Lonchura striata: one gene and its partner. The protein of the gene in region 2 purifies or fractionates together with the protein of the main gene of each other region. This does not show direct contact. Links are inferred from orthologs where the notes say so. Each region holds a gene or a part of one and is shown on either strand. Other genes may lie near its edges.

What was found. Proteins that work in one complex are often made in the same cells at the same time.
Region 1: the proteins of NSF (region 2) and STX6 purify together in Homo sapiens (affinity purification with mass spectrometry; 3 studies listed by BioGRID and IntAct, with this or other methods). This does not show direct contact. The link is inferred for Lonchura striata from reciprocal best matches to the Homo sapiens genes NSF and STX6.

Annotation. Positions count from the first base shown.
Region 1 is NC_134611.1:2,047,052-2,054,374, reverse strand, and holds the start of STX6 (syntaxin-6), read right to left. Parts: upstream 3,072-7,323; 5' UTR 3,024-3,071; coding exon 2,989-3,023; intron 684-2,988; coding exon 514-683; coding exon of another isoform or gene 500-513; intron 1-499. UniProt on the Homo sapiens protein: SNARE promoting movement of transport vesicles to target membranes. Targets endosomes to the trans-Golgi network, and may therefore function in retrograde trafficking.
Region 2 is NC_134627.1:3,022,696-3,029,706, reverse strand, and holds the start of NSF (vesicle-fusing ATPase), read right to left. Parts: upstream 3,065-7,011; 5' UTR 2,999-3,064; coding exon 2,987-2,998; intron 1-2,986.

The DNA.
Region 1 (7,323 bases), on a different chromosome or scaffold from region 2:
ATGGATACACAAACCCCAAGCCTGCCAAGGGGCCCCTGTATTCTGCCTCTTCCCAAAATCTGATTAGCAAAGAACTGCAGGCTGGATGGAAAAGGAGACATGGCAGGAATGTGCTGTGAAGCACACACACAAGGTTTCTCTTTTCCATGTGGTTTTTTGGTTCTGTGATGCTGGGCAGTGTTTTCAGGAGCACTCAGAGGAGCACGAGGGACAAGGAGTATTTCTGGAAGGCAGCCTAGAAAATGAACTGAGCCTGCAGAAATGCAGATTCACACAACACAACAGGCTTTCTAAAACAAAGCCTCTTAGAATATACCTTGCAAAAAGGGAGACAAAAAGACAAAAGGAAAATCCTTTACTTAATTTCTCATTTGCAATTTGAGAAAAGCCAATGTGAATGCAAAATTCAATCCCAAACAGTCCTGATTTTTGCAGAGGAACAAGCACTGGGACTTTGCTATTTAGTACAACCTGAGAACTGCAACTACCTCCAAAGGGCCAAAAAAAGGATATTAATGGTTTCATCCAGGTCTTCCAGGTCCCACTCGATGCTTCGCAGGTTGTTCCTGAGCTCATTAGTAGTCCAGTCGATTTCTTCTCTTGTGGCAATGGAGGGATCTTGCAAGAGCTCTGTCCACCTCTGGAAGAGCCCCTGGGCAGTGTTCACAGCTTTCTGCACCTCCCTGCAGGTGAGTGAAGAGAAGCCAAGAATTATCACTAGCTGCCCTGCAGCAGTGACACTGGGACAGCCCCGTGTCCAGCTGAGCAGGAATGCCACAGCTTCCTCCCAAACACCCCTCCTTCCAACAACTGCGTGTTTATTTTGTAAAATAAAGATCTGCCCTGAATCTCACTGCAGCATGAAGTTATTCATGAAGGGACCTATTTCTTCAGGGGAAGCTGCTGAGTGTCACCCAGGCAAGCCAGGGCAGAGGGTCTGAACAAGGCAGCTCTTTGGCAATCCACACTTTGCATTCCTCTCTCTACAGTTTTCCTCTCAAGGCCCTTAAGTACCCATGTAAGATACCCCAAGGGCACACAGAATTACAGGAACTGTCCCCGCAGCACAGCCAGGCAGACTGTTGAATGCAGAACTGTTTATTTTAATTCAGCATTTAAAAAAAATACACAGGCCTACTACGCTGGCTTAGGAAACACAAGTTTTTTCTGCTGCTCTAAGCTCTTTTGGAGACGAATGCATTCACAGCGGGGGAAGGCACTGCTGACACATCTGGTTTGGGGCAAGCAGGTTTGTAAATTTGGGTCACAGACTCTCAGTGTGGCTATGTGCATTTACAAACTCTGCGGTCCCAAGCTCTGAACTGCTCCCCCAGGTTCACCGGGGAGATCAGATGATGTGCTGGTGTCCAAGGAGGCCACCATGAGCTTGCACACAGCAGTCAGGTGTTTCACCCCAGTGAAGGAAAGCAGGGGAGGCCCAGGGCAGATGAACTGACGTGCCAGGACTGCACCTCTGTAAGTTCCACCAGGGCCTGATCCAGCTGGTCCTCCAGTTGCTGTCTAAGCTGCAGTTTCTCAGCACTCTGATGCATGTCCCTCCTCTTCTCACACGCCTACAGCTCCGAGTCTGCCACTCTGAGTGCCCTAAAGCCAGCAGCCTGCACTGAGGATCTGGAAAAATTCATTCCCTCCTCTACTTGCCAGCACAAGTTTTGATTTTATTTGGCTGGGTTTGTTTTTCCCCACACTTGTGGAAGTCCCCAGCAGCAAGAATGTAAAGCAGAGCTGGGTGTCCTCTGATGGGAGGAGTTACAGACACCAGAAAAGCAAACTAGTAGCAATTCTGGTGGCTACACCACCGGCAGCCCCTCCGACCTGCCAGGTAATAATTAACTGTGGGAGCGGCAGCACATCCCCTTCCCCCTCCCTGCCCTTCCCCACCGCTGCAGGAACATCTCTGGAAAGTTTGACAGGACGTTTGCTCCCCACCCATGGCGACTCCTACACTTTCCTCTAAGCACGAGTTTATCCTGGTGAAGGGATTCATTTTCCCTGGCTGTACCAATATCCATTCCCACACTTCTTCTCACATGGCTCTCCCAAAACACCCCACCAGGAGCCCCTCTGCTGCTCCTTGGGGCTGTCTCGCTGTGACAAGGGGCAGGAGAGCAGCCCCCAGCACAAGCTGAAGGTGGCCCGAGGGCAGTGTTCAGTGATGGAGCTGCTTTCACAGAATCACAGAATTGCTGGTGCTCTGTGGGTCATCCAGTCCAAACCCCCTGTCATTCACTGTCACCTAGAGCAGGGATACCTCCAGATGGGTTTGGAATGTCTGCAGCAAACTCCATGAAGCCTTTTCCAGTGCTCTGCCACCCTCACTGGAAAGAAGTTCTTCCTCACCTTGAGGTGGAACTTCTTGAATTTCAGTTTATGGCCTGTTGCTGTAAAGGGTCTGGCACCATCCTCATAACACGCCTTAGAGACATTTGTATGGAGTGATGAGATCCCCTCTGTCTTCTCTGGGCTAAACAGGCCCAGCTCGTCTAGTGTCTCCTCACCAGAGAGATGCTCCAGACCCCAAATCATCTAGGTGGCCTCCACTGGACCCTCTGCAGTAGCTCCAACACAGCTCCTTTCACCCTATTAATGACAATTTTCCTTCGGCTGGTATTTCCCTGCGTTCAGGCTCTTCGCTGCAGGCTTCCTCTCACGGCCATTGTTTATCCCACAGCTCGCTCCCTGCTCCCTGCACCTTTCCCACTGTCCCCAAGCCGCACCTGCAGCCAGGCCCGGGCCCAGGCCTCACGGCAGCGCCCCCGCACCGGCGAACAGGCCCCGGACCGGCGCGGAGCCCTCACAGCCCGGGGGCCGCCGCCATCTTCCCCCCCTCACAGACCCCCGCCGCCGCTCGCCCCCGCTCCGCCGGCCTCCCGAGCCTCGCCGCGGCCCTGCCCGCCCCCTCCGCGCCGCCGGCGGGTTACGCGTCCCCGCGGCCGCGTCCCGGCGGGCGCGGGGCGCGGGGCTCACCCCTTCACCACGAAGAAGGGGTCCTCCATCGACATGGCGCTGCCGCCGCCGCGCGCCTCGGCCGCCGCCAGGCCCCGCCCGGCCCGGCCCCGCCCGCCCGCGCCCTCCGCCAGCCCCGCCCGCCGGGGGCGTGGCCGGGTGACGTCAGCGCGCACGGCGCCGCGGGGCGGGAGCGCTGAGGGGGCGGGAGCGCTGAGGGGGCGGGAGCGCTGAGGGGGCGGGAGCGCTGAGGGAGCGGGAGCGCTGAGGGAGCGGGGGCGCTGAGGGGCCGCGGCTTCGTCCCGGTGCTGCCCGGGCAGTCCCGCAGCTCCTCCCGTAGCTCCTCCCGCAGTGCCCCCTGTCCCTCCCACCTGAAGGAACCCAGGCCTGGTTCAGGAGTTACATGTGGTGGAAAAGTCTCTCTTCCAACCCGTGCTTCCAAAGAAAACTCAGCAGTCTCTGCTGTCCGGTCTCAAGGCAGTTTATTGCGAGTTATCTAAAAGATTTTCTTCTCTGCTGCTGTGGTTTGCTCAGAGCTCAGGCAGAGGCACACACACACCCTGACATCCTCTCTGACTCCCGACTGCTTCTTCTCTCCCCGCCCAGGGCTGCTGCTCTCGTTTATATGGTACATTGCGTGTGACATGTTTACAATTTTTCCCAATGCCCATTACCTATATTAAATGGTGATTTTCTATCTTTTATATGGTACATTACATGTTACATGGTTACAGTTTTCCCCCAATGCCTATTACCTGTATTAAATGGTGCTTTTCTATCTTTTATATGGTACATTACATGTTACATGGTTACAGTTTTCCCCCAATGCCTATTACCTGTATTAAATGGTGCTTTTCTATCTTTTATATGGTACATTACGTGTTACATGCTTACAGTTTTTCCCCAATGCCTATTACCTATATTAAATGGTGCTTTTCTACTCTAAACCAATCTGAGAGTGCCAACATCACCAAGAACATGGAGGTAAGGAAGAAGAAAGAGGAGGAAAAGGACCGGCCTGCATTCCTCCATCTTAAAACCTCTGACCCCCATGTACAGAACAAAAAACCCCCATGTACAGGTGTTAAAACCCGCTTGTACAATACTAAAAAATTCTCCCCTCTACTTTATAACCACTTCTACTATAACATTTAAACTTTCGTGACTTCTTGTTCTTCCTGCAAGGTTGGTAACTCATTCCATGGCTCAAACCCAAAATCACAGCTGTTTCCAGCTGCCTGCCAGGGTCTCAAATGCTTCTGACCGGGGCCTGGAACCTCCAAAAATGTCTGAGGGACATTTTGAGTTCCCACAGCCACCCAGCGCATCACGCCCAGCATGGCTCAGGGTGGAAGGGAACTCGGCGGTGCCGCCTCCCTTCTCACCCCCGAGCACGTGGCACGGGTTGTGTCCCCATGGACCTCTCTGGGCCATCTGTTCCATTGCCCTGAAACGTAAATTTTAAGGGGTTTAGAGATTTTAGAGGAGCTAAGATTTTAGTTAGAGATAAGCCCTACTAGAGTTAATTAAAATAAATGAGTAGGCCTTGATGAAGTTAAGAGTTAGCAGTTGACTAATAATTGATTGCTTGTCAGCACAATGTTGTCGCCCTGATTTTTAAGATTTTCTTAAGCCTTCTGAGTTTACATTCTGTTAGAGAACTTTCTCACACAACTTTCTGCAAACAACCTATTGTTTTGCATTCCTTCACAGAGGTGGAGAAACTTGATGTACTGGTAGTTTGTCCAATGTCATTGGAGAGGTGGCACCTTCACCCTCCAATCCACTGTCACCTTTGGAAAAGTATAAATGCTGGAGTCAGAAAATAAACTTCCTCTTTTTCACCTTTGCAATAGCAGCGACTCGCATCGTGCTTTTACGTGTCCTATAGTGACACAATGTTTAGTTAGCTGGGTTTATAATGAAGAATACAGAGACTGACAAACAGCTTTTAGGAACATAAGACAATTGTGGGCCTCGTCTGTTCTGAAACCAATTGAAGACAAGGAATGGGAGTTCTACCAAGATTCATTTGTCATATTTGCATTGAAAAGGTAGAAAGGTCAGAAGGAGGAAGACTTCATTGACTTCCTCATTTTGGGACCCCTCCCCATGAAAGGGACACCGACCCATTTCAAGGGACAAACCACGCGTGCTGAATGGCTTTTGGAGTGATTAGCATACAAAGCGAGGAATGGGATGTACCAAAATGATGAATATGTATTTGTATTTTGTGTATTCAATACTTGTATGGATAAAAAGGCTCTGTAACCACCTGGAAGGTGCAGTGTGGATTTGGGAGCGATCCCGCACAAAATAAACACACACCTTTAACTTTATACTGTTAGAGAGTTTTTGTCCTTGACTGTTGGATATCAGTACTAGATCAATATCCACATTTTTTTAATAAATCAGCCCTGTGAAAAATGCATATTATATGGCTCTATGCAGATAGCTGCTATATGTATTACGCTATATTGATTAGTTGTGCTTTTGTAGTTAATATGAAGACTTTAGGAGTTAAAAAAAAATAAAGACTCTGTATGTGGGGGGGAAGGTTTTTTCTGGTTTTTTCTTTTTTTTTTTAGGAATGAGACACTCACTTCGAGGAACACCTAAATCTTCCAAAGGAGAGGAATTTATGGCTTTTTATCAGAAGAAACTAATTTCTTCAGGCCTTGTTCAGAACCAAAGATGCCAGGGGGATTAAAGGAAACATACGTCAGAGTTTCTTGCTTAGAATAGAATGTATGCATAACCATGAAGGATGTATGAATATGCAACAAGTGTATTGGTTTAAGGGTGATTCCCTTGTTCACAAGACTTAGTGTCCGAGAGCATCTGGACGTTGTCGTAATTCTTTGCTTTTTATTGTCTTGTAATTGTCCTGACTCTAAACTTTATTACTCTAATTGCATTACTATTTTTATAACCATTTTATTATTAAACTTTTAAAATTTTTAAAAACCAAGTGATTGGCATTTTTCACAGCCTGGTTACTCCTACAGTGACAGAGCTTCCTTCTGTTCATGTGGAACTTGCTGAACATCGGTTCCTGCCCCTTTCCTCCTGTGTCCTGATGGTTGGCACCACCGAGCGGAGTCTGGCTCCATCTTCTTGGCAGCCCTTCCTTAGAGCCCAGAGGTGCACACAGCACCCCAAAAATGCTCTCATCAGGGCTGAATAGGGCTGCAGGATTGCTGAGTCCAACACTTCTCTCAGCAGCCCTATAATGACAGAGGTGGTTACACGTTCCTGTGTTCCCCTTGCCACAATGGTCCACAGTCCTTAGCACCAGCGAGACCATGCAGAAGGTGGTGTGTGTGCCATTCTTTGGGTTATATGGATTAAAGATAATAATTTTTTTATTTTGGAGAACTAAAAGCAGCCTGCTCAGTGCAGAGAGGAAGTGAGGTAAGGTGTTCGAGCACCATCTTCTCACACACCTGCAGTTAGCAGCAGTGTTGTTCATGTCCGGCTCCTCTGTTGGGAAGGAATTTTGTGCTTTATGCTAAAGCCAGGAGACTAAACCCCTTCCTTCTCACAAGATTTGCAGTCTTTCAAACCTCATATAAACCAGCCAGCTGGCCTCCTTCACCCGGTTTCACAGAGCAAAACCTTGGCACTGTGGGGCCCTGTCCCTGGCACGGGGTGCCCGGCAGGAGTGGCCCAGGCAGGCTGTGTTCCCAGGCAGTGAGGGAGGAAGCAGGAGGGAGTGACAGGCAGCCTGCTCGGCTCCTGCTGCCCTTCCTGCCCTGCAGAGGCACAGGCACGGCTTCCTTCCTCCCCTTCTGTGGGGTGAGAACAGCCCTGTGTCGCTTGGATGCTGTCCATGCCCGGGTGGGGATCCCTCATTCCCACCTCTCTCAAATCTCTGGGCTCTTTAGGAGCTGAGCACAGGTAGCCCTGGGCTTGCAGCAGCTGGCAGGAGAGGGATGGTGCCTGCAGAGCTCTGGGAGATGTCCCCATCCACATACACACAGCCTTACTCCCACGTGAGTTGATTTTGCAGAGGCTTGGCCAGGAGGAATCCCCCAAATTTTAAGCAAAGAGCACATCCTGGCCTGTGCTTCCCAAAGGTGGCAGTGGCCCAGCATCCCGAGCAAAGGCAGGGAATGGGCACAAACCCCATTTGCAGTGGTGCCTCCTCAGCATGGGAACAGGAGAGCCAGCTTTTGCAATCCCAGCAGCTTTCCTCACGCTCAGCCTGGGGTGGGAAGGCTGCGGCACACGTTGAACCGGTTCCTGCATTTCTTGGGCTCAGAAATCCACCTCCTGCTCCGGCCAGCCCCACACCAGGAGTGCTGCAACAGGTGGCAGCTTTAGGGCTGGCATTTGCTGGCCCTTCCTTGCTGA
Region 2 (7,011 bases):
GCTCCACTCAGTACAAGAGGTCCACAACCAGCTACAGACACAGCAGCTTCCCACCATTCCCTCTCCTGCAGGTGCCTCACTGCTCTGCCTAATGATCCCCATGCAGAGCTGCAGAATAAATTATTACAGAAACAGCCATTATTTCTAATCATCATAAACTGTTTTTCCTGTAAACTTCAATCACTGCTAATCACCATCTCTTCCTTGCTGTGGAGAGACCCAGTGCAATTAGGGGAGCAGAGTAACACACCTGAAACAGCATCACACAACCAGATTTAGCTTATCATTCACCTGAATTATTCAAAATGTTACTAGAAGTTTAAATATTTTGTCTCTCTCATACATCAGGACAGCCATTCATTTCTCCCTGTGAGAATGTACTGCAAAAATCAAATCACACCAGTCCAGTAAAAGAGAATAAGATCTAAATGGCATTGCAGAACAGATTTGCAGGGCAGGAGGAGTCACTGAAGCTCCTCTTCCCATCTTGTAGGTTGAAGCACCTGTTAAAAATGCTGACAACAGAACAGCACCTGTGTTCCAGCATCAGCCTCACCTGTTGTGCCTGGAGATATCACACACCTCCATCCTCCCACCGAGTGTTCCGTGTTTACCTGACACAGCTCTGGGGTGCTGCTCCTGCCCCCCCTGCTGCCCACCCTCCCCAGCACTCTGCTGGCCCACGGGCCAGCTGGAAGGAGCAGGCAGCTCCCTTGGTAGCTCACGTGGAAAGCATTCGAAGCATCAGAGCTAGCTTGGAGAGTGAGATGGAACACTCAGCTAGGGGATTCTCTCTGCAGCATTAAACAACCTGATAATTCTGCAACAACTGCATTTGTAGGCAAATCATGACAACACTGAATACTAAGAAGCTTCCTGATAACCCAAGGAGAGCATCACTCATCCAATTGCCAGACTAGGAGGCAGCTAAGCAGCAATCTTTCTTTTAGATTCACATAAATCCCCCTTTCCTTCACCAGGCTCCCAGGCTGGTCAAAAAAAAGGCACATTTGTCTCACATTTTTTAGTAGCAGAAAAGCTCAAAGCTGAAGAATAAAGTAGAGGTTGATCCCTCTCCTTTCTCCCCACATCCCCAGTCCCAACTCCCAGCACTCAGCATGCACCAGGGTGTTCCCTGAGCACACAGCTGGGAGGGCTCAGGGGCACTGCAGCCAGGTTGGGTTAGGCCCAGGGAGCCTCAGAACCACGTCCAGTGTGGGTGAAAGGTTCTCACCACTGACCAGAGACTGGGCTCCTGTTCTGGGCAACAGGACGCTGAAAAAAGCCAGTCAAGGCTCACAGATTTCCCTGGCTAAGTGCAAAGGTGAGATGAAAAGAAGGTGCAAGGAAGAAGGTGAGACCAGGAATCTGGAGCAGGGACAGAGGAAACACTCTTAATGAGAGACAGACCACAAAATGGGTCTGTCTGGGGTTTTTCTCAATTACTCAGCACATTTCAGGGGTGGCAGTGGAGCACCTGTGATGCATGGCACGTCACCAGGCCAGATTTCTCACCTCTGCTCTGCACCACAGCACTGCACCAGCTGCCCTCCATCCACAGCCCAGCACAGTGCAAAAAGCACTTGGAAAACCAATTCCCCAGCATTTCAACCACCAAATGACTTGGCCTAGAGACAAGATTCCAGCCAGAGGCAAGCATGAATGAAAAATGTGATTTTCCCAGGCTGATACCCAGCAAAGCATGACTGAGCTCCTGGCAAAGAGCAGAGCAATCCAAACACATCCTGCAGCACCTGGACACCTGCAAAGGAGGGGATGTGCAGGCACCACAAGAAGGGATTTCACAGTCAAGGCTGTTCCTTCACCTTTTAAAGCCTTTCTGGCCACTAGCTGATGTGATCTATCACTAATAAGGGATTTTTTGATTTTTTTAAATTAATACAGAACAAAAACACTGCACAACCTTTTAAGATGTTTCCACACAACAAAAGGTGGACTCACATTATAAAACAGCACCTGGCTGATTCTCAAATGAGAAAATCTCCCTGTATCCCACAGCACCAAGGGGTCACCATAACCTCACAGCACCTTTAGGGGACCCTAAAATCTTGCTGCACACCCCATGGAGACAGGGGCACTCCGGACCCACAGGGAATCCCACAATTCTGCCCCACATCCCAGAGCACCAAGGGATCACCCCTGTCACAGCATCCCTAAAGGTCCCTGCCCACAGCCCACAGGGAGAGGGGTCTCAGAGCTTCACAGCACCCCGGGCACCCCAAATCCTGACAGCAGCACCGAGACACCCGGGGCTTCACTGCACCCCCAGGGCACCCCACAGTCCTGCCCCTCACCACAGGGACAGGCGGCACCCCAACTCCTGAGGGAGCCCCGGATGCTCATCCCACAGCACAAGGGGTCACCACAGCCTCTGAGCACCTCCAGGAAACCCCAAAATTCAGCTCTGCACCCCACAAGGCCACTACAACCTCACGGCACCCTGAGGGAACCCTAAATGCTGCCTCACACCCACATGGAGAGGGGTCACCCTGCTCCTGAGGGAAGCCCCAGTCCTGTCCCAAACCCCACGCTGCCAAGGGGCCACCCGGGTCCCACAGCACCCCTGGGGGACCCTAAAATCCTGCCCCACAAGGAGACGGGTCACCCTTGCCCGGCTCCTGAAGGAACCCAGTCCTGTCCCACATGCCACATCACCAAGAGGCCACCTCAGCCTCCAGAAAGCCCCGGGGAACACCGGGAGAGGGCACACCGGGAGAGGGGTCACCGCCAGCCCCCCACACACCGGGGGCGTCTCCACAGCCCCACAGGCCCGTCAGGACCCCCCACACCGCCGGGGGCGAGGGGGTCACCACAGCCTCACAGCGCTGCCGGGGGACCCCCGGGGCTGAAAGGCCTCCCGGCAGCGGGAACGCGAGAAGCTCGCAAAGCCGCGGGGCAGGGAGGAGCGGAGCGGAGGAGGGGGCAGGGGATGGCGATAGCGGCCGGCCGGGTCCCCCCCACTTACCCGCCCCGCCATGTTGCCGCAGCGCCGACCGACGGCCCTCCCCGCGGCCGCCAGGGGGCGGTGCAGCGCAGGCGCCGCGCCGCGCCGGGGCGGGGCCTCGAGGGCGGGGAGGCCACGCCCCCTGCGCGAATACGCATTCCCATTGGTCAGTCCGCCCGCCGCTCAAGGCACTGAGGGTTGCGTCACGGAACGCCCCGCCCATCGGCCTGGCGGTGAGGGGCAGGACGTTGTGCTGTCAGTCATCGGGAGCGCTGCGGGGATTGGTCGGGAGGGCGGGGTGGGCGGGGCCGGGGTTCCGGGGATGGCGGGGCCGGGGATGGACACGGGAGCGCCCGGCCGGGAATGCGATGGCGGCCCGGAGCGGGCCCGGCTGCTCCCGGCTCCTCCCGGCCCCTCCCGGCCCCTCCCGGCCCCTCCCGGCCCCTCCCGGCCCCGTGGTGTGAGGGTGAGCGGGGCCGGGCCGCCGGCAACCCCTGCTGAATTATTTATTTATTTATATTTTTATGTGGTTTTGATTAATTAATAATATTTATAATAATTGTTCATAATTTTGTAGTAATATTTATATCTTAATGATAATTACATTATCTATTGTATAGCATATTGTATAATATTAATTATAGGATGTTGTCTTTTTCTATATAATAAAACAATACGAATTTAAATTTTTTTTCACATAATTTTTAAAAATTTAATTCTGTTTTAATTTCATTTTTAATCTGGCTTTGGTTCTGCTCCTGCTCCAAAGAGGCCGCACAGCAGCGCTTGTAAACCAGGCATCGCATCGTGGTCTCCTTGGATGACATGTAATGGCTTAACTGTTCCCCCGACGGGACTTCCCGTTTGGCTGACACTAATGGTTGTGTGGGAGCTCAGAGCTGCCCAAACCCCTTGCAGGTGTCACAGCCAGCCGTGGCTCATTCCTGGGTGTCCTAGTTTAGGGCAAATTTGGGGAAAACCCTCTGGAAGGAGCCCCCAGAAAACAGACCCCCACAGCCCCTCCCCACCTACCTGATTCGGGAAAAACAAATTTCTCTGAGAGAAGTGGAAAAGAACCTGTTTATTTAACAAACAAAGCACTCCCCAGCACCAAAGAAAATAACAACACCAGATGACAACAAAACTCACCACTCTGAAGAGATGAACAAATCCAGAGAGTCTTTCCTGGGCGTGGTTGCCCAGGTCTGGACGCTGGGGATTGCTCTCCTTCACTGGGGATGGCTGCTGCAGATCACAAAATGCAGGCTCTGGGTGCTCCTCAGTGTTTCCAGGTCCCAGTCCGGAGCAGGTTGGATGCTATTCAGGAAAAGGAAAGGAAAGGAAAGGAAACAGTCCAGGGAAAGAATTGGACTGCTTAGCTAAACTAACTAGGAAGCAAAGGCAAAAGCAGAAGCAAGCAAAGCAAGCAAGCAAGCAAGCCAGCACCAGCCTTTTCTAGACAGCAGACCATGGAGGGAGGTGAACTGGCTGACAACAAGGCAAAACAAACCTTCACTTTCAGAGTCAGTTCTGAAAGCACAGAACATAATATCAGACATAAACAGAACACAGGATTGGAGATACAAACACCATAAGGTCACCCTAGGACACTGGGGGACGGGGCTCGGGGCTCCTCCAGCCCATGGCCACCACACAGGATCTGCTCCTGCACAGCCGGGTCCTGCCCGAGCGCCCAGATCTTCCAGCCAGGCTCCGGGATGGGGATCCATGTGGGATTTGCTTGGAATTGTGCTTTGCTCTGGAGAAGCAGATGACGCTGGAGGAGTGGTGCTGAGAGGTGACAATGGCTCCTTCACAGAGCTCATCCCCCTGTGTGGTGCTCAGCCAGAGATGAAATCCCAGCTGTGTTTGTGTTCTGAGGGAGGGGATGCCAAACACTCCGACCCCAAAGCTCGGTAGTGTCTGTAAAACCAACCCAAACATCCTGGGAGCTTTAACACATTAGCAGCCTGTCCCAGCAGCTTCCTGTGTGGGTTTTGACAGCACCGTAAAATATTAATACTGATTGTAACTGCTGGTTACTGCCTTGAACAGGTACCAGAGTCAGCTGGGATTGCCAGGTCCATGGAAAAGTGGCACCAAGGAGATTTCATCACACTGGCCAAAGTGGTCGGTGCCCCAGACTGTGGATGTGCCTCAGTGCACAGCACAGGCCTAAGGAGAAGAAGAAATGGGGTCAGTGCCTAAATCTGCCATGGGCTGATACCAGCAGGGCAAGGATCCATTTCCTGCAGTGAAACCCTGTTGTCCCTGCCTGCAGCTGAGCACTTTTACTGTCCCTGACAGAAATCTCAGCACTGGGAAGTGGTTGTTAAATATTGCAAACAAGCCCTGTGCTTCGGGGTGCAGCAGCCAGACCCCGACAGGTGACAAGGCTGACACCGTTGTCCTGCACAGCTGGAAAGGCGCCCAGATAGGAGGCTCAGCCCAGCAGTGAGCTCTGGCTCAATGATGAGTTTTGGAGGGTATCCTCACTGCTCTCAGCTTCCTAGATCTCTGCTCTGTGGCCTTAAGGGAGTCTCTTGCAGAAGAAATACAGAAAATACAATGTATTAATTAGTAGGGAGTAGCTGAGTGGGACAGTGAGGCAGTGGCCGTGCTTCCCCCCTTTTCACCATTTCAAAAGGGGGAGAAAAACAAAGCAAAGCTCCCCCAAACCAAGCACAAAGATCACACCGACTCCTCTGCAGGAACTGCAGCCCACACCTGGCTGCTCCAGAGCCAGCTCCAAATCCCTGCCCCACAGCTCTGCCCCACAGCCCTTCCATGGGGCAGGGAGCAGCAGATGGAACTGGGGTCTGGGACATGCTCTGGAACCAAGACTTTCACTGACTGTTTGAACTCAAAATGTCCCTCAGACATTTTTGGAGGTTCCAGGCCTTGGTCAGAAGCATTTTAGACCCTGGTGGGCAGCTGGAAACAGCTGTGATTTTGAGTTTGAGCCATGGAATGAGTTACCAACTTTGAAGGTGGAACAAGCAGTCACAAAGGGTTAGATAGTATAGTAAAAGTAGTTACAAAACAGAGGGGAATTTTTTTTTGTATTGTACAGGGGGGTTTTAGCACATGTACAGGGGGGTTTTACTTTGTACATGGCAGTCAGAAGTTCTAAGATGGAGGAAAGTGGGCTGATCCTTTTCTTCCTCCTTCTTCTTCCTTGCCTCCATGTTCTTGGTGATGTTGGCACTCACAGATTGGTTTCGAGTATAAAAGCACCATTTAATATCAGTAGTAGGTATTGGGGGAAAACTGTACACATATTATACATAATATATCATATAAAAGCTAGCAGCAGCCCTGGGCAGGGAGAAGAAGAAGACAGCAGACAGAGAGGGTGTCAGGGTGTGTGTCTCTGCCTGGGTCGCTGACCAAACAGCCACAGCCCACAAAAACAATCTTTTCGATTTCTTACAATAAACTGCCTTGAGACCGAACAATAAGAGGAGTCTTTCTTTGGAAGCACGGGTTGGAGGAAAGACTTTACCACCACATGAGACCCCAGACCAAGCCCGGGGTTCTCACAACTGACAACCCCCTCATCTCCTGGAGTGAATCCTCTGGCTTCCAGCAGACAGAACCTCTGTGTCTGCAGTCCCTGGGTGGGTTTAGGAAGGGGCTGGGCAGACCTGGCTGCCCAGGCTCTCCCTGCTGCCCTCCTGTGAAAAATGCATATTATATGGCTCTAAGCAGATAGTTACTATATGTATTATGTTATATTGGTTAGTTGTGCTGTTGTAGTTAAAATGAAGACTTTTGTAGTTAAAAAAAAAATATATATATAGAGACTCTGTATATGGGGGGGAAGGTCTTTTTCTTTTTTTAGGATGATATACTCACTTCGAGGAACACCTAAATCTTCCAAAGGAGAGGAATTTATGGCTTCTTATCAGAAGAAACTAATTTCTTTAGGCCTTGCTCAGAATCGAAGACGCCAGGAGATTAAAGAAAACAGTTGACATACAACAGAGTTTCTTGTTTAGAATAGAATGTATGCATAACCATGAAGGTGTATGAATATGCAACAA